Lepisosteus oculatus: one gene and its partners. The protein of the gene in region 3 interacts with the protein of the main gene of each other region in a pairwise test. Links are inferred from orthologs where the notes say so. Each region holds a gene or a part of one and is shown on either strand. Other genes may lie near its edges.

What was found.
Region 1: the proteins of amotl2a (region 3) and brms1la interact in binary tests that used the Homo sapiens proteins (3 or more experiments, as listed by UniProt). The two-hybrid records come from large-scale screens. The link is inferred for Lepisosteus oculatus from reciprocal best matches to the Homo sapiens genes AMOTL2 and BRMS1L.
Region 2: the proteins of amotl2a (region 3) and nfil3 interact in binary tests that used the Homo sapiens proteins (3 or more experiments, as listed by UniProt). The two-hybrid records come from large-scale screens. The link is inferred for Lepisosteus oculatus from reciprocal best matches to the Homo sapiens genes AMOTL2 and NFIL3.

The regions. Positions count from the first base shown.
Region 1 is NC_090703.1:3,197,359-3,204,344, reverse strand, and holds the start of brms1la (breast cancer metastasis-suppressor 1-like protein-A), read left to right. Parts: upstream 1-3,981; 5' UTR 3,982-4,412; coding exon 4,413-4,548; intron 4,549-5,137; coding exon 5,138-5,228; intron 5,229-5,429; coding exon 5,430-5,557; intron 5,558-5,824; coding exon 5,825-5,904; intron 5,905-6,078; coding exon 6,079-6,175; intron 6,176-6,749; coding exon 6,750-6,839; intron 6,840-6,986. Other genes in the region: ralgapa1 (ral GTPase-activating protein subunit alpha-1), read right to left, coding at 1,225-1,330. UniProt on the Homo sapiens protein: Involved in the histone deacetylase (HDAC1)-dependent transcriptional repression activity. When overexpressed in lung cancer cell line that lacks p53/TP53 expression, inhibits cell growth.
Region 2 is NC_090698.1:49,937,495-49,944,923, reverse strand, and holds the start of nfil3 (nuclear factor interleukin-3-regulated protein), read left to right. Parts: upstream 1-4,424; 5' UTR 4,425-4,622; intron 4,623-5,292; exon of another isoform or gene 5,293-5,601; intron 5,602-7,429.
Region 3 is NC_090708.1:10,078,035-10,085,384, forward strand, and holds the start of amotl2a (angiomotin-like 2a), read left to right. Parts: upstream 1-4,347; 5' UTR 4,348-4,802; intron 4,803-6,766; 5' UTR 6,767-6,829; coding exon 6,830-7,350. UniProt on the Homo sapiens protein: Regulates the translocation of phosphorylated SRC to peripheral cell-matrix adhesion sites. Required for proper architecture of actin filaments.

The DNA of each region.
Region 1 (6,986 bases), on a different chromosome or scaffold from region 3:
CAGCTCACAGTCAGGAGGTCTTTGAAGTTGCTACCTGAGCTTTCAGTCTGTCTGACAGAGGAGGCCTGCTATTCTCTTTCATCTGACTTTCTTGACAAAGAAAACCCTTCAGGAGACTGCTGTTCATAGGAAGTGCAGCGGCTCAAGTGCTGCAGGTGCGCCAACTGTCTGATCACAAAGACACTCGTGTCCATTCCCCCACTGTTAACTGTCATGGCAGACAGCGTGCAGCTCGGTGCTCAGGAAACAACCATTGAACTCATCCAGCTGTCCGGAGTTACTTGCCACTGGGTTTCTTATTTGGCCTGTGAAGCAGAATCTGCTCTTAGGGACACACACGCTTGGCATGACCATTAATAAACAATGAATTTCCACCAGACGGAGGAATTGTTTTGTGCGTTTTGGAGAAGCTTGGAGAATACTACATCAAGGTCTGCCTACATACTGTACCCTTCATTGTTGCCCACTGACTTATCATACAGTGTGTGATACTGTGTTTTCTTTCTTCTCTTTTCAGCATGGAATAATCCTATTACTCGTTCCTTTGTAGCCTACGCATGCTGACGCAGCTCCACACCTGAACTAATACAAACAGTATGCCTAATTTGTTTTGTTTTTTATCCCAAAATATGTTGTAACTTCTATACAACAGAAATGGCAAAGCAGCGAATTGTTTTCTCCCATGATAAACTATGCACAGGGCATATAAAACACAGTGAAGGCAGCCCTCGGGTCAAGCCCATTATAAGAGGGGTGAGGTCACACGCTGTATTCCCAGCCCGGGACACCCCGGCCAGCAGGTACAAGCGACCAGCCCTCCGGAGACGGGAGCCGGACGCCCTGCCATCTCCACTCCGCACTCCGGGGGTGCTCTGCGAATCACAGCACTCTCACCCGGGGAGGACAGCGTATCACACAACCCCACCCCCGGAAAAAGGGGGAAAACACACTCGCAAACATTTCTCCTTCAGCCCGACACAACAAAAACAAATGAACACGCTCGGGGGAGCCGCCGAATCGACACAGCCCGACTTGTAGCCCACGGGGACCGATAAGCCGACGGGCGAGGGGCAGGCTGGCTCACTCACAGGCCCTGCGGGAATAGCCCAGGGCTCGCCGGCTGCGGTTCCAGAGACCCCCGGCCATGCTTTCGGGGGGACAGGGGTTATCCCCCTGCCCCGCTGTCCCACAGACGGCATGTCCGCAGACCTGCAGCAGACTCACCTATCACAACCCGCAGGTGCTTCAGGCGGGTCAGGACGTCTTTCTTGGGGTCCAGCACCTTCTGTGTGGATTTTTTGACGTCCCCATGCGGTTTTTTAGAAAACATCCCGAAAGCAGACAGGGAAAGTCCGGTGGAAGGAGCCAGCCCCTAGGAAATCTTCGTGTATGTTTTTGTTTTTTTTTTTAAAAAAAAGAGGAGGTCTGGGGTCCGTTAACGTTTAAAAGGACACGAATTCACATGCCTCCGCGGGCTATAAAAAGTCAATAAATAAATAAAACGCACAGGGTAGGTGTGCATTTTGCAGGGGAAACAAAAATGTCATCGGAAGCGGTCCTTCCCTCCTCAGAGAGCAACACACCTCTCGCCCCAAACAGCACTAATGTCTCCAAACATGGCGGAGCGCTCAGGAGGAAAAACAACTCAATGGAAGTCAGAGCAATCCAACCCCACCGACTCGAACTACATCTCGGGTCAAACGTGCTTCGAGAGCACGCTGTTCTCGGAGCAGGACAGCCGCCCATCTCTTTAGAGACGAGGCGAGAGGCAAAGCGCGTCAGTATAAGACTTGGATTTGTTTTTGTTTTGTTTTTTTGGGGGGGTCATTGGCAAGAGCGGAGGTGCCAGTTGTCATGGAAACCTCGCCACGCTGTGCGTTTCTCGTTCACTGCTCTTCAGCATCCGCCGATTTCATTTTGGCGACCGTATTTTTTTTCTTTTGTCTAGTTTCGGGGCGCCTGAAACACCCTGTTCTGCGAAGAAGAGGATACCCGGGGGCGGGGGGGCATTTCTGCGCCGGTACGGAGCTGCAGGGCCGCGAAGCCCGTCTATTCCGAGTGCTTTCCAACGCATCCTTGTGGAAGAGAAAACAATGTGAACACCACAGAATTGTCTATGTTTTTAAAATGTGTTTAATACGTTACTACACTGAATAAAACTATCTTGCTTCGAGTACTTTTAAATACGTTTGTGCGGATCGTGGCGACAAAGATTTAACGTACACCTCAGTATTAACAGCCTGATCGTCAATCAATTATAATGTCTAGTTCAAGCAAGCGTGAGGCAGTCCTGGTTTATGTGGCACAACCGAATTTTACAGTGGACGTCTGGTATTTCCCTTGCTTTCGTGGTGAAAGGAAGTTTCCGTATATTACATTGGAACTGCGTGAGGCGCCGGCTCTCGGACTACAGCTCGCTGGGAATCTGTGCGGAGAGGTACTGCTGGGTCCCATTTTTGTAAAAGCTTCCCAAACCCTGCTGCCTGGCCTTTTGTACCACAACCACACTCCTGTGGTGAGGCTGAGAAATCGACAGCAGAGCAAGATAATACGATCGCGAGGAAAGAAATCGTATTGGCTATACTTTCAGACCTGTTTTTTTTTCTTTCGAAAGACATTCAATGCACACCCTCCGTCCTGATGGTGTATTTCTACACTGGGACCACACCTTGGACAGGTCACCGGTCCGTCACCGGCCACAGGGGCTCGAAGCCCGAATCGAACCCACTCGTGTGGTGGGATTGCTCACACGGCGCCGCTGTGCCAGCCTGGCCAAGAGCCCAGAGTCACGTTTCTCACACCCATTTGTTTTGATCCTTTCGGAGACGGGGTTTGTTTGGAGGCTCGGGTTCCTTATTAGCCAGCATATTGCACCCAGAAACCACAACCAAGAGGACATGGAATATCCCCTGTGTGACTGAAAAAATACATGTTTTTGTTAAACTGCACACTGAACACTAAGATACATAAGATGTCCAGCAGCCATATCACCCTGCAACCCACTGGAGCTCAGCAGGTGTGAGCCTGGCCAGTACCTGGAGGGGAGACTCCTGGGAAAGCTGAGGCTGCTGGAAGAAGTGTCAGTGGGGCCAGCAGGGGGCGCTCACCCTGCGGTCTATGTGTGTCCTGATTCCCCAGTATAGTGAAAAAGGCGCGTTCCTTCAGATGAGATCCAAAACCGAGGTCCTGACTCTCTGTGGTCATTAAAAATCCCAGGGTGTTTCTCAAAAAGGTAAGGGTGTAACTCCAGTGTCCTGGCCAAATTTGCCATTGGCCCTTACCAATCATGGCCTCCAAATAATCCCCATCTCTGAACTGGCTTCATCACTCTGCTCTCCTCCCCACTGAGAGCTGGTGTGTGGGGAGCGTTCTGGCACATCATCCAGGTGGGGCTGCACACTGGTGGTGATGGAGGGGATCCCCATTACCTGTAAAGCGCTTTTAGTGGAGTGTGCAGAAAAGCGCTATATAGGTGTAAGGAATTAACATACAGCATTAACATACATACAGTGTACAACACCAGTCAGTCATCTTTCACAGAATGAAATTCTCTTTCTCAATAGCATTTCACTGTACAGTACCCAGATACAAAACGGTAAACATTGCGATAAAATCAAAAGCATAATAGCAACCTTGGGGAAAAAGATCTCCCTTTTACAGTACAGTAAATGTCTTTGTTTATTTTAAACCCTTACAAATACACATTTGGGAGGCCCACTCTGAGGCAGAATGAACTGCTCTCTAAAAATTTCGTTTAAGATGTTAAAGCAGCAGAATGTTATGCTGTGGAGCTTGAGTTTCCTTTTGGTTTGTGGATTGTTGAGTCGTACCAAGCGCACTGCTTGACTTGAGGTGCTAAGAAATCACTTGCTGTTAACTCGATAAATAATGTCTGGGCTGGCACCGCCCACATCAAATCGGAATTACCCGAAGTATTCCGGGGATAACCGAACAGGGGAAATCGTCATGCTCTTGAATGCGGTTATGTCACATCAACCCCGGAAGTGGGCCGTGGCGTTTGCAAAGTGAAAAACAGACTTTTGGAAAATGTAGTTCAACCCCTCCCTTGTCCCGCCGCCTTCAACCTAATCACATGGCTCATAAGACTACAAGTCCCAGAAAACCAAAGGAAAAACAAGAAAAAAAACAACAAAAACGCGCCAGTCAACCATCCTTGTCTTACATTAAACGTATCCCTTTTTGGAGTGGGTTGGTCGAATCGAGAGGTCTATTTCTCCAGTTGTGTGTGATTGGCCATTGTTAGAGTCCGTATTTGCAGCTCAAAATCTGAAATTCGCCAGGCTGTTGTCAGTCACTGGCATTTTTGCGTCTGTTTATTTTTTTGCAAACAGGGGGACCGGTGAGTTTTTGCGGGTTTTGCCAGCCGGTATTTAGGGTACACCGAAGGGGCGATGCCGGTGCATTCGCGGGACAAAAAGGAAAGCAACCACGAAGAAATGGAGGTGGACTACCCGGAGCAAGAGGGGAGCACTTCGGACGAGGAGGACACCGACAGCTCGTCCGTGTCTGAAGATGGAGACAGTTCAGGTGGGGTGGCCGCCGATCGCTTCAGCTCCCGAGAAATGTTGCCTGAGCCACGTCGATCACGTCCGGTCCGCCTGTACCGATCGATAGCATGGCTCACCCCGGGGAGCACAGAGACACTCGCCTCTGCTGGAGCGGTGCCGAGGGGGTTTCTGTTTTCAGCTGCGGACCCAGGGGTTTTAGCGCCGGTCTTGCTTTGCTTCTCTGCGGTCGGAGGGGGTCTCCCCCGGTTCGCCCCGAGCTTCTCGTGCCGCCGCCCGGGGACCCGAAGTGTTAATCATGGGGGGGCGCATCTGTAGCCGCTGGACACACGCGAGCGCATCTGCAGGACCGGAGCTGTCACGCCGCCCGGTGCGCCGTTACTGCTCGGGAGTTAGTTTGTGACGGCTTCGGAAATCTCCGACCTGCTAGCTCCACGTGTTTTAGTTTTTGCAAAGTGCTTTGGAGCGCAATGACCACCCGTTCCCTCCCCAGATCTGTAGCTCCTGCCAATATGTAGAGCGATACTGTGGCTGTAATGGTTGGGAGATTCGCCTTGTGCGTGAAGCCGGACTTACTTGTTTCTGTGTGTCTCTTTTCGTGCACGGAGCAGAGATGGACGATGAAGACTGCGAGCGGAGGAGAATGGAGTGCTTAGACGAAATGACCAACCTGGAGAAACAGTTCACGGACCTCAAAGACCAGTAAGGAGATCGGCGTTGCGCTTTTAATGAACGAGGCGCTAAAATGTCTTGCCTTCAATACCCACTTTACCACTTTTAAACTCGAGTAAGGGACGCTGCCACTCTCTGAAGGGGGGAGTTTTCAGGAAGCCGCAGGATCTGTGGAAGACAAGCTGAATGGGTAGGAAGATGCTCATTTCCTTTTGTCTCCCTTCTGTTTAGGCTGTATAAGGAAAGGCTCAGCCAGGTGGATGCCAAACTGCAAGAAGTCATAGCAGGAAAGGCACCAGAGTACCTGGAGCCCCTGGCCACTCTGCAGGAGAATATGCAGATCAGGACGAAGGTGGCAGGTGTGTGTGAGTCCTGACTCCAGGGCTGTGGAGGACAGCTGTGTGTTATAACCCTGCCCTGTTCTGTTCTCCAAACCTGCACTCACGGAGAGCATTCAAGCGTTTTTTTTTAGAAATACACTGGGTTTTTTTCTTTTGAGTGGAATGCCATGTCTCTCGGGGCAATGTTGGCCCACAAACTACCCATCAAGGTCTAAAGAGGGAAGATCGTTCCAGGAGGGTGTCTAAGCTGGAGGCTGTAAACTGCTTTTCCTCTCCCATCTCCAGGGATTTACAGAGAGCTGTGTCTGGAATCGGTGAAGAACAAATATGACTGTGAGATCCAAGCGGCATTTCAGCACTGGGAGGTGAGGAACCCAGTCCCTGTACTCGCTGAAGTTGTGTAACTAAGTGGCTGTTTTAATGAAAACGAATGTTATGTTATGGCGATTTTTTTTTTCCCCGAGCTGAGTTTTACCTGTCGGGAGGCGTGGCTACTCGACTGACGAGTCAGTTTTTTTTTCCTTGCCTCCCTCGCTCAGAGCGAAAAGCTGCTCCTGTTCGACACGGTGCAGAACGAGCTGGAAGAGAAGATCCGGCGCCTGGAAGAGGACCGCCACAGTATTGACATCACCTCGGGTACGTCTGACCCAGGCGGGCTGGGAGCACCACCGACGCCAGCCCCAGCCTGCCACGGGCTCCGGCCCCTCCCCGCCAGTCCCCGTGCCGCTTGGCAGAGTATTGGAAGTGGAGCGAACACAATTGCATTTTATTGCAACCTCGGGCTTGTATCATCTGTTGTAAATTCTGCTGGACGTGGGCATATTTTAGGGTACAGATTTGGTTAAAGGCAAGGGTAGGGACAGGATGAGTTAGTGGTGGGGTAACGCCCCCAAGTCTTTGCCCATGTCCAGTACTGTTACTAAAACATACGTATATATTTGCAGGATTACGGTGAATTCTAGGGGTTGGGACTGGAATGAGCCTAGAACTGTCATTAGTTATGGGTGACTCAAGGTTCAACATGGTTTCAGCATGCACTCTTTTATAATTGTAAGGCTGTTAATTCCACAGAACGTTTACCACTTGTTTTCTGCATTTGTAAATAGTAGTTTGAGTTGGATCTCAGATGCTTTGTGTCAGCTCCTGTAGTAATTCGATAAACAGTAACAGGCAGTTGGACAAAAACAGCCTTTCGGTTGTATGGTTGCAGAGCTCTGGAACGATGAACTGCAGTCGAGGAAGAACAAGAAGAAAGATCCCTTCAGCCCTGACAAGAAGAAGAAGCCCATTGTCGTCTCCGATATCCTTCGCTGTGTTTCTTAAGTCAGGAGTTTCGGACGCCTTGGGCGCCGTGAGACGGCGGCTGCCTGCCGCCAGGCCGGGACGCTGCTGTGTCTCTGTCCTGCGCTGTGCTGGAGCCTGTGGAAGCAGGGAGGCAGCTGTGGCT
Region 2 (7,429 bases), on a different chromosome or scaffold from region 3:
TAGTTTTACAAAATAGGAAGGATCCTTAGGAAGGATCTTAAGTTAAGTTGCAAGACTGTATGTACATTTAAAAATGATACCAGAAGGCAACTATGAAGCAAGAGAGGAAATCAAACCTTTGACATAACGTTACATCATTACCCACACAATAATGACATTCACCGAGCAGCTCTTATTCACAGGGCAGTATGTCTGCTATACTGTATGATCTGACTGGCTCCGTTCCAACAAGTCATAGTCTGAATGTGTCTATCAAACCAGTATAAAGGTTCACATCATAGCTGATACACAACTGCTAATAGTTATGGCTTTGGAAAAATTCAGGAAATACACAAAATATAGTTCTAAAACTATACTACACTACAACCAACATTTATGGATAAGGGACAATTTTGTTTAAAAAAGGCTAGAGAGAAAAAATCTTTTTTTCAATCTTTTGTTTAGTGACAAGGAAAAAAAAATAAACCTGTAATTATATCGTACATATTTCCTCGTGGCAGTCTTAACTTCAGGTGTTTCAAAGTGAAAGGTAACAATAACAATTTAAAGGAAATGCCATGAATGTCATATAACCACACAAACGTCACTTCAGAGAAAACACACTATAACAAACTAAAAATGTGAATATTGCGCAGTACATATTGAAAAACTGCTGAAAGCATTGGGAGCTCAAACCTAAAGAACACTGAGAAATACATTTTCAAACGTAAACAGTGGTAAACAGGCTTTCCATTACACATTACATTGAGTTGAAGGTAAACCAAAAACAAAATGAACAAGTCGTAGCTTTTACAACTGAATGCCTGTATGTGACCTGTGCTTCCAAGACCATATGTTAGCATTAATATTATAGATTCCGTTCCATGAACAGGAAGCAGGGGAGCCAGAGCCTATCCACAAAACAATGGGTCCAAGGTGGAATACAGCCTAGATGGGGCACCAGTCCATCACAGGTCTGGCCCAGGACACAAAGCCACAAAACACATTCATACTCACAACCGGAATAATTTTCCCAGGAACCAATTAACCTATCAGTATGTCTCTGCACTGTGGGACGAAATCGGAACACCCAGACAGCAGCATGGTAATTGAACCCAGGGCTTCAGCGCTGTGAGGCGGCAATGCTAACCACTGCTTCACTGTGCTGCCCATAACACAGATTTTTGCCTATTTAAATCAGAAAAGAAAATGTATTTTAATAGCAGAAATGTTTATCTGTATATTTTAAAGGTGGATAGTCTACTCTAGATCAAAGTTTTGTTTGAAACACAGAGGACCAAGAGATTACTCCTACGCATAAACGTCACTACCTTTTTATGATGCTGTTTTATGCGTGAGCTTTCACATATCACTTAATTCCACTAAATATGTATTGATTTTACCACTGCAACATTCTGAAAGAACATTTAACACAAAGACTGTTCACACTTTGGTTAGTGAATTACAAGCATTGAAAGCACATATTTTAACAAAGTGAAGTTGCAGTCAAGGTACACATGGTGTTATTTTAAGATAAGATCATTTCAAATGCTGTTAATTAGCATCATATTCAAATGCCAGATGAACTGAAAATGGATGAGTACGAGGGAGTTTATAGTTTTAACATGTTACACAGTCCTGGAGTCCTGGATTAGTAATATTTACTTTACCTAACTTTGGAAAAATAAATTACACAATGTTTGTGAATAATGAATACTCAGTATAGCTTGTCTAAGCTTGTTGACTGCACCTTTTCATGAACCGTTTATTGTATTGTAGAAATCCAAGTGTTACATAAACGAGTCTGTGTTTGCTTGATAGACATAACTATTAATTTTCAGCGTGTGTTAGATTTATCTTGTAGCTAAGATTTTAAGCATATTGTCCTATGAATTAAGTAATGATGCACTCTTGTGACAGGGAGGCTGCTCAGTTAATGACTTCATAGTTTGTTGTTGGCAGCCATGTGAATGTGTGAGGGAAATTCCATTTAAGTTAACAAGTTCACTTCCTACACACATGGCTAATTCAATTTAGGCAATAAGTTAAATGTCTCCTCTTTTAGTTCAAATAGTTCCAAAAATGCTGGTGGGTAGTAAGTACTCAACAGCTCTGAGTTGCTGTGTTATTTCAGACTTAAATGTTTGTTTAGAAACTGGTTTTGGTTTGCTTAAAGGGGGCTGGGTTTTGTTTTGCCTAAGAGATAAGTATCAGGTCTCCTCACACTGGTTCCTGGATTGTTTGGTTTGTCTACTGAGTTACATTCTGATCTTTTTATAATAAAGAGAGCAACTCAATGTGATTTTTTTCAGTTTTGCTACTGTGCTTCTGTATTTGTGGTATATACAGTATATATCTCACATCACATCATTGTTTTGCACATGCATCTGCATCAGCTCTTACCCGGCGCACAAGTCCAAGCTACTAAGCACTGACATGCTCTGTGCTCTGTTTTGTGCCCAACATTGTGTCAAACTTTATATCTCTGCTATTTAGGCTGCAGATTTCAGTGTGGCAGAGAGTTTTATCTTCATAATCCTGATGACTGTCATTTTATATACTGCAGCCCTACAGTTTAATTTAGAATCACAAAAGAAAAGAACATGAATTGAACACTGGACCCAAGGGGTGTGAGGTGAGACAGGAATATGTTTAGGCCACTCAACTAGTAAAATCATCTTTATGAAATGGTTAAAAAGTTCTCAAAAGAAAGGAGAACTTCCTTGTTTAGCCCTCTCCGATGCTTGTTTATCCAAACCCTGAAAGAAAAACCCTTTGAGTACTCATTATTGTGGAGTAATCCATATATCAATACTTAATAACTAAAGATTGCAAAAACGTATTGTTTGTTACCGCCATATACTAGTTATAGTGTAATGTTATTTCCATTTGCTGAAATGTTTTCACATTACTGAGGAAAAGACTGCATTTTCTGTGTAATGTTAAGGCCGTCACAAGACAGTCTTTAAGCAAACTGAGAATAATCTCCAATTGCTAGTCCACTACAGGTGAACATCTCCAGCAGTACAGGTATCCATTGGTACATACTGGTGGACTGCAGCAATCAGTCTAATCGATCTCCAGTTTAAAAATATACAACAGCAAAGCGCTACAACATTGAACCCATAAACCACAACCCAATAGTAATGAATGGATCCAGAGCTGTAAGCACTCACACTGTCTTTGTGAACACATCAATTAGAATGTGAATTTACTCCAGAGTTACCTACAGTATATCTAACTATACAGGAATTCTATTAAATAACTTTACTATAATAAAGTAGATTTCAAGTCAGTTTATTCTGAAAGTGTAGAGTTAAAAAAGTTAATTTCAAACATATACACCATCCCCTTCACTGTAAATCCTAGATAATGTATTCCTCTAAAGTTCTAACATTTTTTACAAAATACTGTACTTTTGCAATAGCTTACTGTATTCCCGTATTAGGAAATACATTTGTTTGTATTTGCTTTTGTAAATGCCAAAGATTGGAAAACAAAAACAAAATTACTGCCAGGTTTTGAAACTGAAATAATGTTGGCTACTTGAATGTATTTGTTCACCTCCGTAACACACATGCAAAAAGCAAATACGGGAGAAGATTTAACACTGAAGTCCAGCAGATAAATGTGAAGGTTGTACTCAAGCTTTATGCCTCGTCAGGTCTGAACAGTTTTCTGTTGTGTGACGTGAACTTGAGAATACGTTGATCTCTCTGAATAAAACACTAGTCTATCACAGGGCAATGCAGAGTCATATTTAGGACTGGAACAATATCGGGATAGCTACCTTTTCCAAGGATATAACAATAGTATCCATTGTGTTGTGGAACCTTAAGCCCTAGAGTACAGAGCCTTAACTTCTACTCAGTGTCACCCTCATTAGTCTGGGATGTTACAAAACCTTGTGAAAAAGTATGCATCTTTTTCTCTCTCTTTGCTGCGGACACATGGGTAGATAAATTGAATGTGTTTTTGCACTGTCGTTACCAAGAGGATTTTTAAAAACACATTCAAGTACTGTAGAAAGAAAATAAAGACAGACCTTCTACAGTGAAATGTTATGTTTACAGTCCCGTTTTGAGCGCATGATCCCCGTCTGCATTTCTACGCTTTTGAAACTTCCAACTAGTTATTTTAGTGTCCTCAGAACTCATCTGAAAAAATCCTTCAAATAAGACCCCGTCACACCCCATTGGTAATCCTACCGGGCGAAACATCTTTCTCTTACTACATACAGTAGTCACATTATACATATAACTCCGTTGCTCTCTAGCTTGTTATGCAATAGGTGCAAATTCGGTGCAGAAGATACACTCTTGTGTACCAGAGACTGGTTTCGCAGCTCGGGTAGGTCATCATTGGGTGAAATCAGATAATGCCTTTCTCGGATTGGCTGTTTTAAGTGTCAATAACACGCTGTGTTGCCAATACGTTTCTTGACTGACCTACTAACACAGATCTGTGGAGCAGACACTCCAGGACTGGAAAGCTAGGGAGAGAGAGGTTTTACTTCAATGCAATTGGATTTTGACCACCAAGGAAACTTAACTTGTTTTTTTTCTTGGTACCGACGTGTATTTTAAACTACGATGTCACAGGACGCCGCATCTTTGACATTTAGGTCGTGTTCGATTGAAAAGGTAAACCATTACTTGTTTATTGAAAACCTACAGATACTTAGTTTTTGAGGATTTATTCAATGGGATAATCGCCACCTTAAGGTAAATAGTTACATTGCAGTGTACCAGAGTGGCACGTAGTCTTTTTTGAACGTAATATATATTTGCCGTATAATAATACAGTCTAAGGATCCACTGTTGCGAATTCCGTCTCTGGGTTTTAATTCATAAGCTTTGATGACTTTTCAGTGTCTGTGGGGAACGAGGTCCTGGCTGTGGCATGATTTTCAGGTTGTGTAAACATCACCGTTGTAACCATGGCATAGTGACCCAGAAAATTAATCATGTGCGCTGTTCTGTATAGAGACGTTGATGTGATAAAAGTCATGATCCTGCCATTGTTGCTTTGTGGTTCTTAATTTATACGATCAATGACCAGTTAGGAGTGAATGTATTGTCTGAGACCTATGAATGCATACACGAACGCGGACTGGTGAGTTTACCAAGTTTCTCACTTAAAACCAGTTATGAATGGAGATTTTTATTTACTCACATGTACATTATGGGCTTAAGCATAGGTTTACTTCCCAAGTAATAGTAAAAGAGACCCTGAGGGGAAATAATTCATAATTAAACACTTTGGGCTAATTTAGCCGGAATTGATGGATTTGATTCGTACGCGTGCCCGTTTAATTAAATGAAATACATAACATTCCTTCGTCATTGCGTATTTCATCAATATTATCAGTCACGGTTGTTCTGAGGACGTACGACAGGATCGTTCCTGGAAATGTTGCATAATGCAGCCACAGAATTTGCTGGCAGCTGGTGGAAAGAATAGGGGAGCTGATTACGCGATTTTGTAATCCTGACAATAAAGGAATCTGGGACATAGACGTGAACAATGTTTAATTCACCCATGCGAATGTAGGCATTGAGGATTGTTTGACTAAAGATACGCTTTCTCTTACTGGAAACAAAATCACAAAACTTACAAGGGGTGAGTTGTTGTTAAACCTGCCGGCGCAGAGGTTTTAAGTTATTTCTTCTCGATTTCGGAAATCTTGAGTCTTGTTTGAATTACCGAGTCAGATAAGTGAGGCAAGCATTTGAAAATGCCAATCTTAAACCTGAATTGAACAAAACAACCATGAGGCCATGTTCCGAGCACTTCTTTAAACGAGGTGCAACGCACGCCAGAAACGGGTTAACCGGTAAACTCGTCTTTGAGCTAGCAATGTTTGCTCTCTTATGTAATAGTAGAATAGTTAAGTTACACTTTTGTGTTGTGATAGTATCTTTTTTTTGTGTGTGTGGCGCATAGCTAGTGGGATGTCAAGGGGCGTTGGTGTTTCGCATTCTTACGCAGGTCTGGCTAGACCGTTGTCCATAAAAGGGGAGCTGGAGTGTGGCTTTGCGTACGCTAACATCTAAAAAAGGCAAACCAGAGAAATACATATTTTTTCCTGTGCGCATACAAAATAATCTCAGCAACTTTTAAAAAAAAATACGAATCTGGGCTTGAATACTCCAAGCTCTGAAAAGATTTTTAGTCTGAGAGGAGAATGGTCTGAAATATTAATATTAAAAGCACGTGTTTTACGTCTAGCTCACGAAACCTGACATCTTTTATATGTGCTTTAATTCCCGTTTTTTTCCCCTATCGGCTGCATACACGTGTATGGATGGCAGGGTGCATTCCTTTGTTCCTGGTGCGCTAATAAACACGACTGGCTGGCGTGAAAGCAGCGAGTCCTACGAGCTCCAATGGTGCCTTAGTCACGTACTGTACGTCTACATGTACAGTGTTGCAATGAACATTTAGCACAACAGCACATATTATAATATTGCTTAACAGTCCGGGAATCCAGTCAGGCAGCCCGCCCTAATCCGTACGATGAAATTTCTTTTAACCACAGACAATTAAGATACAATCCGATCAGCAACTGTCACCTGAAGGTCATCTGTGTAATTCAGCCTTATAATTTCCGACATGAATCCAAATGTTGTTCAGTATTTAAACGTCCCACAGATGCTATCCCGACGGATACTTAACTTCTTTTCGCCCTTACCTATTTTTAGAGTTAACGCCGGGGGAGCTTTTAAACTATTTTTATCAGTGCAAGTGTGTCGAGCCGTTTGTCTGTTTATGCGTGAGCTTGGCTTTATTTATTTTTAGTTTACAAAGAGGTAAAGTAATTGTGTAATCGGGATACTCCGATAAACGAGTGACATAATTCGAATCCGAGAGGCTAGCCGTAGTGAGAGTTGCTGAGGCAGTTGCATAACAATTTGCATTTGAGCAATAGTGCAGAGTTCAAGTAAGGCGTGCCAGATTTTCCAAAACTGGCAGAGTACAGCTTCAAACTGTTTGGAAAAAATGCCTGAGCTAACAATGGAAACGTTTTACTGCCCAAAGTGGGTAACTTTTGTACTGTTTTCATTTTTAATACTTGGATGTGTTATTGTTACCTTTATGCGGTTATTTCAATCTTTTTATGAGGGATTTAACTGTGGCTGCTTTCTATGTTTTATATAAAACGTTTTATATTGTTTTTCCCGTGTTTTTTATTTTACTTTATCTTGACGACTTTTTAAAAATCTCACCTTTTTTTATCTCTACCTATTTTATGTATATTGGTTAAGTAGCCCAATGTATCTCTGATGCGTCTTTACTTTATCCATTATTCCCGAGGGTTTATTTTCATTTTTTAAGTGAAGACATATTTAACTAGAACATTGAGTCCAGGAATCACTTACAGTTATGTCCAAAACCTGATCATATTGTTCATTCATAGGTGTGTCGAGTCATTAAATGAATTGTATTT
Region 3 (7,350 bases):
TTGACCTTTCCTTGCTTGTGAAAGGACAAGCTTTGAATCTAACGTATAAAAGCAAATTATTTTTGGTCTTCAGTATTCTTCCTTGTAAGTAAGCTGAAATAGGGTTAAAAAAAGATAGTTTACTGTAAACATTATTTAGTTGGCTGCAATGATTTTCTACTTAATTACAAAGAGCTCCAGAAATAGATGTAGATCATTGAGTGATCTTATTTGTGATCATCAACGCTGATAATGAGATCATTGTCGAGAAAAGGTAACTGACGTTGCTTTAACCTGAACGCGTTTGTTTTAATTTGGCATTATTCCTGTTCTAGGTGAAATAGCTGCATGTCTGTTAAACTTGCTGCCTCACAGCTCTCACATGTATTTCCCTTCCTTGTGCGGTCTTCCTCTGAGTACTCTGGTTTCCTCTCAGCTCCCTGAAGACATGCAGACTTTTCCCCAGTGCCCTATAATGTACTGGTGTGCTGTTCAGTTGAGTCCTTTTGGTCTCATCCTGAACCCCTATTGTTCTGGAAAAAGCAATGTTGTTCTCAAGGCCGAAAATGGATAAGTACCCTTCTAATAATGGATTATTTCTGGTCTCCTGAGCAGGTGCTAAAGTGTTATAAGCCCAAAATCAGGAGGTCTGGGATAATTGCCATGTTACCATATTATTCATAGTGTAATTTAAATGTCAAAGTGCCTACGTTGAAGGACTGTTACGTGTTTTCAGCAAGCAGACAGTGGAGGACATTGTTCATGGCGCAGAAGCAGCGTGCGCTGACGTTCAAAACCTCCTTTAGGTTTAACTAAAAAGAAAATAGCAACCTGTCACTAAGGCTGATGTCAGAAAGTTATTTTCAGTTCAACTATGGCTCCTTTAATTTAAAGACCAGACATCAGGATCAGGTCGGAGGAGACAAAGGACCTACTATTGGTAAGGTTAAGTAAAGTCCATCTTCAGGCAACACCTGTTCATCAGTGAAAGGCATCTAGAAGCCCTTGAATTGAAAATAAAATGACTTTTAAGTGTCGACTGAAAAATACTCTGCGGAGAATCTGCCTGAAAAAAAATCAATTAATAAATTAAAGCATTTGTTTGACTAGATTTTCTTTCTTTCTACTTTAAACTACATAATGAAATTGCAGAAGTCTGAACACTTTTTACCAATTACTTGCTCTAAAACAATTTGGGAAATGATAGATCGTATTTTAGGGAAGGCCAGGGCGCAGAGGGAGCCGCGGTCGCGCTGGGCCGGGTCACCGTGTTCTGCGGGACATGTCCAGCCGAGCAGCCCAAAGCGGTTCAGGGATTCATGAAGCAGATTCCCTTCTCTGACTAACGCACTGTGAAATACACATGTAGATCAGTCTGCTTGGTATTGCGCTGTGCCGCGATTTGAATAACAATTCTCTTTGAAGTTGGAAACATATCTCATTTATTTACTATACAGTATGTATTTTTTATCCGTCTTGAGAGATATTTGTGGAAATAAAAACACATATAATAAATAATAATTCAAAGCTTTACTATGACAGCTTTTCCAATAAAAAATTCCTTTTGTCCCCCCCTCCGCGTCTTCTTAAGCCAGATGATTGCAATTTCGTGTACATTCATATAGGGTATGGGGAGGAGGCTGTGACAGCGACGTAGCAGATGGTAACCCTCGTTTACAATGTCTGGTGTGGATTGGGGACAATGAATCTCTCACAGTTCTGATTATTGAGAGGATTTTATTCCGAAGACAGCTGGCAGGCAGCCTCCCCCACATCACCCTCTTCTTGCACATACTTCACGGCCATTGGCATTGTGCATTAGTTAAATATTTAAAAGACACCTGGGAGCACACGGGCCTTTTACAGAAATAAAAAAAAAATTCACACAATGTTTCGTGTGTGGGTCATTTACAGCTCCTACTGCTGAATTTCTTTATTGAAGTTGAACACTCCAAAATTGTTGCGACTCTTCGCCTTTACATTTCACAACACCTAGGCTGTGTAGAGTATGCATTTGAATCGTTTTCTCTGACCGCTTTACACGTTTTTCAAAGACGGCGCACAAAGAAACCGTGTACAGCAAAAGCCTTCGGGCAACTTTAGAGACGTTATGGGCGAATGATGAAAACGTAATTCTCACAAATCCATTGCCTCTGTTCATTGTGTGTACGATTAAAAAAAAAGTTTTTTTATTTCGAGAGTCATTTTTTGTTAAAAAAGATAATAAAAGTGTTTTATCAAATAAAAACAAGTTTAAACATGATCAGTTAACCTTCACCTGCGCTCCTTCCTCATCTTGCTAACAAAGGAGGTGAAGAGTTGGGCAATTACACCAGCTACATTGCTATCAGGGAATATTTAAGTTTTACCCGTTCTGGTACAGACTGATTCTCAGAAAAGCTCAAGTTTTAATGTATGCCCCACAATATTGTAAACAAACACATCCTGTACCATTTCAGACGTAAATAGTAACCAAATAACTAACCAAACCAGGTAAGATTGATCATTTTTTCTGTAATGGAATAACTCAGTTGAGTATTGGTATCATGTTCAACATATTTAATCTAGTAGCTCACCAATAGTGTTTTATTTTATTTTTATGGATTACCTAGAAGTTTATTTTTAAGGATTTGGGAAACGTGCAAGAGAGAGATAACGCGCGCTGTATTATCTGCACGCCCACTAGAGGGGTTTAGTGGGAACTGCAGATGTTTTCTGCCTCTGTGGCACGATTTAGCGCTGTGGATCGCGGCAAAGCTGCCCTCTGCCTTAAACATCATACACAATGCCTCCTAATTCGATCGTTTGATCTACGATTGTGCCGTTAAAACATGTTTTTAATTAAAACTAAATTTAAAGTGTTGGAGTGTCAATGAAGTCGCCCCACCACAGATCTGGACAAACAGGGATTCCTAAATAATTCGTTGGTGCAGTTGAAACCAGCGTTTATGCTCCTTTGGGTTCTGAAAAAGAACGCGGAGAGTCTGCTGAAATGTGTGTCTAAAATTAGCACCTTTTGACTTAAGCGTAATATAATCCTTGAAATGGGGGTGAATTGTAATGATAAATTGTGCATCTTTGTGCAATCCCATTATTTATTTCTGTTGACCCAATATAACCCAATAATTAATGTCTTTAAATCTGTATGTACTACATATGTGTTTCTCAAATGTTTCATGTGATGAGTGTGAACAGAAAGGTAACAGGTCTGCGATGAATCTTCATTCTACATAATTTAAGAATTCAGTGATTTGCAAGCTCTAAGGATCTTCATAATAGCGGTGCAAATTGTGTTAAAAATAATGTAGATACACATGCATATAAAGTACACACAAATATGAGCTTTATTTTAGCTTTATAGTTAATAATGAAAACATTTAACAACTAAGTGTCCACATTTTCATAAACAACAGCTTCATAAAAAAAACAACTATTGAAAACAAAAGATGTATTTAAAAGAAAATGTGGAAGTTACTGTTTCCAAAATTTGTTTAGTCAACAAAATTAAAATAGACTTATGAAAGGTTTGTTAGTATTTTTGTTCAGGACTGTTGAAATATTAAAGTCTACATCCAAGCGTTCATAGCATTAACTGTGTTGTTTTGCTGACGTGTTTTAAAATAGTCAACTCAGTACATATTTGTGCAGTACCAGGATGGACATACAGTATACTTCAATAGCCAAGTACTGTTCTATAGTTATGTATTAGGGGAGCACTAAATAACTTAATAAACATCAGTTTTTTTATCTAAGGATTTTCTGTCTTTTTTAACCTTTTAAGATTCATTTGTTCTTTAACCCGCTCTTCACCTTTTAAAACTATTAACACAGTCGCGAATATTAAGTCTAGCTATTATTTTCAGAAAATATGTGCACTGTGTTAACTTTCACCTGATTTTTTTTTCAAATGATGAGAAGACGCATCTCTGTCCATGGTTTAATAGATTCGAAACAGTTTTATCTTTACCATTAATTCATACATGCACACGTCAAGAACAGATAATCCACCTCATGATTTCAAAAGGAGAAGATCTCCCATCCCTCAGCAGACACAGAAAGAAATTAATAGCTCTTACCATCTACTAAAACAAAACAATTTAATCCACTGTCACTGTTTTGCTATAGTGTTCTGTTCGCAGCAACACTATAAAAATTAAACAGTACCAAAGGCTCCTTTAAAATAACGAGTTCATAAATAAAATATTGCTCATTTGGGTTGATGTCTCAGTGATTATTATAGTATTTCGACAAATGTTCATCTCAGGGCTTGGCGCTATTCTGCGAACTGTGCTTTCCCAGTTCCACTGCGGTCTCAGGTTCTGCTCGTCGACTTTCAGTTCAACCATGATGCTGCTGGTGTAGGAGTGACATCACTCCCCTCAGAAGAACTTCTAATATCTCAAAAACCGAAGCAGCACTAACACCACTTTTAACGACACAAACGAATGAATCGGGGCTCATTGTTCGAGCTGTTTGTATGGGGGGGTTGGCAGCTTCAACGAGCTGCTGTAGTCTGTTATTGCTTTTGATCCCAGAGGAACCTGGAGCTCTCGCATTCCGATCATTCCAGCCTCTGTGAACAATCAGCCCTCAGTTATTTATTAGCGCACTGAGCTCTTAAACTGGCTCAGTCTACGCCAGGCAAATCCACAGAGCGTAACTACACTTATTAACAGTGGAATACATACACATGGGCGAACACGCACGTATCTGAACTTACTTTCAATGAACAGATACAGGATTACTTTCAATAATCCGGAATTTAATGAACAGAATCTACACGCGTCTCCCTTCTGCTATGCATTTAATGGAACTGTGAAAGGGTGAGTTTTATTTTTATCGTCTTTCTCTTATTTCACCGGTCACTTGCGATCTTCTCTAATTTTTGTTCAGTGGTAAAACTCATTTTTAGATTTTAACTTATGTATAGCGTTTCTGTGTATCGATTTTAAATCGAACGTTATTATTTAAGCAAGAAGAACTTATTTGAGTGATTTTAGTCTCGTATTTGATGCGAATAGCTAACCTAAAGTATCCAAAGGCATGGGAAGATTGGCATACATGTTATATTGCAATAAATCCATCTATGAGGGCCATAAAGACTGTACCATCAGTATTGTCTCCCAAAACTAAATGCGGAGACTATTGTGTCGGTTCATGTTTAATATTTAGCGATTTGAGATTCGAGACGTGAATCCGGGGAAGGTTCGGAGCTCATCTGGATGTTTGCTGGGTCGGTCCTTTACCCGATTAGACTCACTTTGAAGTCTCAGTGAAATAAACCCTTTGCATTCTCAGGAGTAAAACACTTGTTCGTTCGGCATGGGATGTTTTACAGACAATAAAAGTGGGGATTTTTTTTTCCATAAACACTGCGGGTGTAAAGGCGAATTAGATTTACCATAATTGCGTTCAGTACAGTGCCTCACGCTGTGAAATTGAATAAAAAACGCGTGTTTTCGAAAGAACAAAATATGCAAGCGCTGGAAATATTAGGAGTCTTTCTGGTATTTTGTCTAAACGTACAGATGTGACTGGCGACTACACTGCCCCTTTCCTTCTTCTTTTGTCGTGTTCGTTTTCCAGACTTCGGATTTTATCAAGTCGTATAGTTCGCACATTACAGCAGCACAGTAAGTTATGTAGAAACAGAGCGGCGCCTGCCGCAGGAAGCTGTGTAATGGACAGACCAGTGCCAAGACTTCCTCTTTAACAACTGCCTCCTTTGTCAAAGTGCTTTAGTATTTCAAATCTCTGTATTGATATGTTAACTATATATGTATTTTAATGTAATGAGCTGGAAATCCCAAATAAATTGTTTAAACTAGAATTGGCTGGTGGAGCCTTGAAGGGAAAGATCTCCACGTGAAAGGTTGTTTCCCACTTCTAGAGAGCTTTTACCAGTGGGGCTTTCTTGCCTTCTGAAATGTCAAACAAGTTACCTTCTCCTTTCAAGTACGCAATTCTAGTAATTATCGACACCTTCGTTTCAGTAGAAAGGTGAGGAGGATACGTTTCCCGAGTATAGTGTACGTGAATACTGGGATAAAACAGGTCTTGGGGAGTTTTTTAAAAACATTTTGCCTGGCCACGGAATACGCATAAAGCTGGCTGGGTGCTAGAGGGCTATTTCAGTGATATTGAGGTGCAAACGTGCTGTTGCTATGGCGATGCTCTCTGAGAGGCAGACCACGCAGAGCCGCAGAGCCACAGAGACATGACTGGTATGTGCCCTGTTTTTGTATCGGGGGTCCATGTGGCCAAGGGAAAGAGATTCCACAGTTTCACAAAGCACTGCTTGGCTTAGTTTTGCAGCTGGCTCTCCTTATTTCCCTGATCTAAAATCATCTGGGGGGAGAATGAGCGCAATGTGCATACCTTTACAAAATAAGATACAGAAAACCCAAAATTGGAACCCGATGTTTATTGCATTTCAAGGGACACATGCCTTTCTGTTGAAACATATGTGCCTCAAATTATAGCTGGCCTCTAGCCAAGCTAACAAATTACTCAGAATAAAGGTCCCTCTAGCTTTACTATCTTTATTATTGGTATTGATGTTATTTCATATTAAATCATACTTATCAACCATTCTATAGAAATCTCATCTAGTCTGTAACTAAAATATTTTGGTTACAGCTAGGCCCAGCTACGCTCTTCCAATTTTTTTTTCTACTACAAAATTTGTTGGATATACCAAGGGATAATTGAATATCTTGCAATGTTTTATTTAGTAAGGCCCAAAGGCTTCTTTTTCATAGATTTGTCCTTTTGCTTTTCCTCCCAGACCTGAGGCTACTTCTCCGATTCGTCCCCGGCCCTAACTCGCCTCGCCAAGCCAGCATCCACGATGCGGACGGCGGAAGACTCGTCCAGCACGGTCCTGCACCGGCTGATCCAGGAGCAGCTGCGCTACGGGAACCTCACGGACACGCGCGCTCTGCTGGCCATCCAGCAGCAGGCCCTGCGGGGGGCGGGCTCCGGGAGCCCCCGCTCCTCCGCGGAGAGCCTGAACCAGGAGGAGTCCCAGTTTCTCCAGCTGTCGGCGCGCCAGGAGCCCCAGGGGCAGGAGCACCAGGGGGACTGCCACCACTCGGAGAGCTCCCTGCACCAGCTCTACCAGCTCCACGGAGAGGAGCTGCCCACCTACGAAGAGGCCAAGGCCCAGTCGCAGTACCTGGCGTCCCAGAGGGGCCAGGGGGATGCCTGCGCTGTGATGCTGGACGACGTCCTGCAGGACGATGGTCTGAGAGACCTCAAGCGGGGGCACGTCCGGTCTCTCAGCGAGAGGCTGCTGCAGCTCTCGTTGGAGAGGAACGGCGCGAAAAACCAAATGGCTATGAGCTCCTCGCACAGCTATCCGCAGCTCTC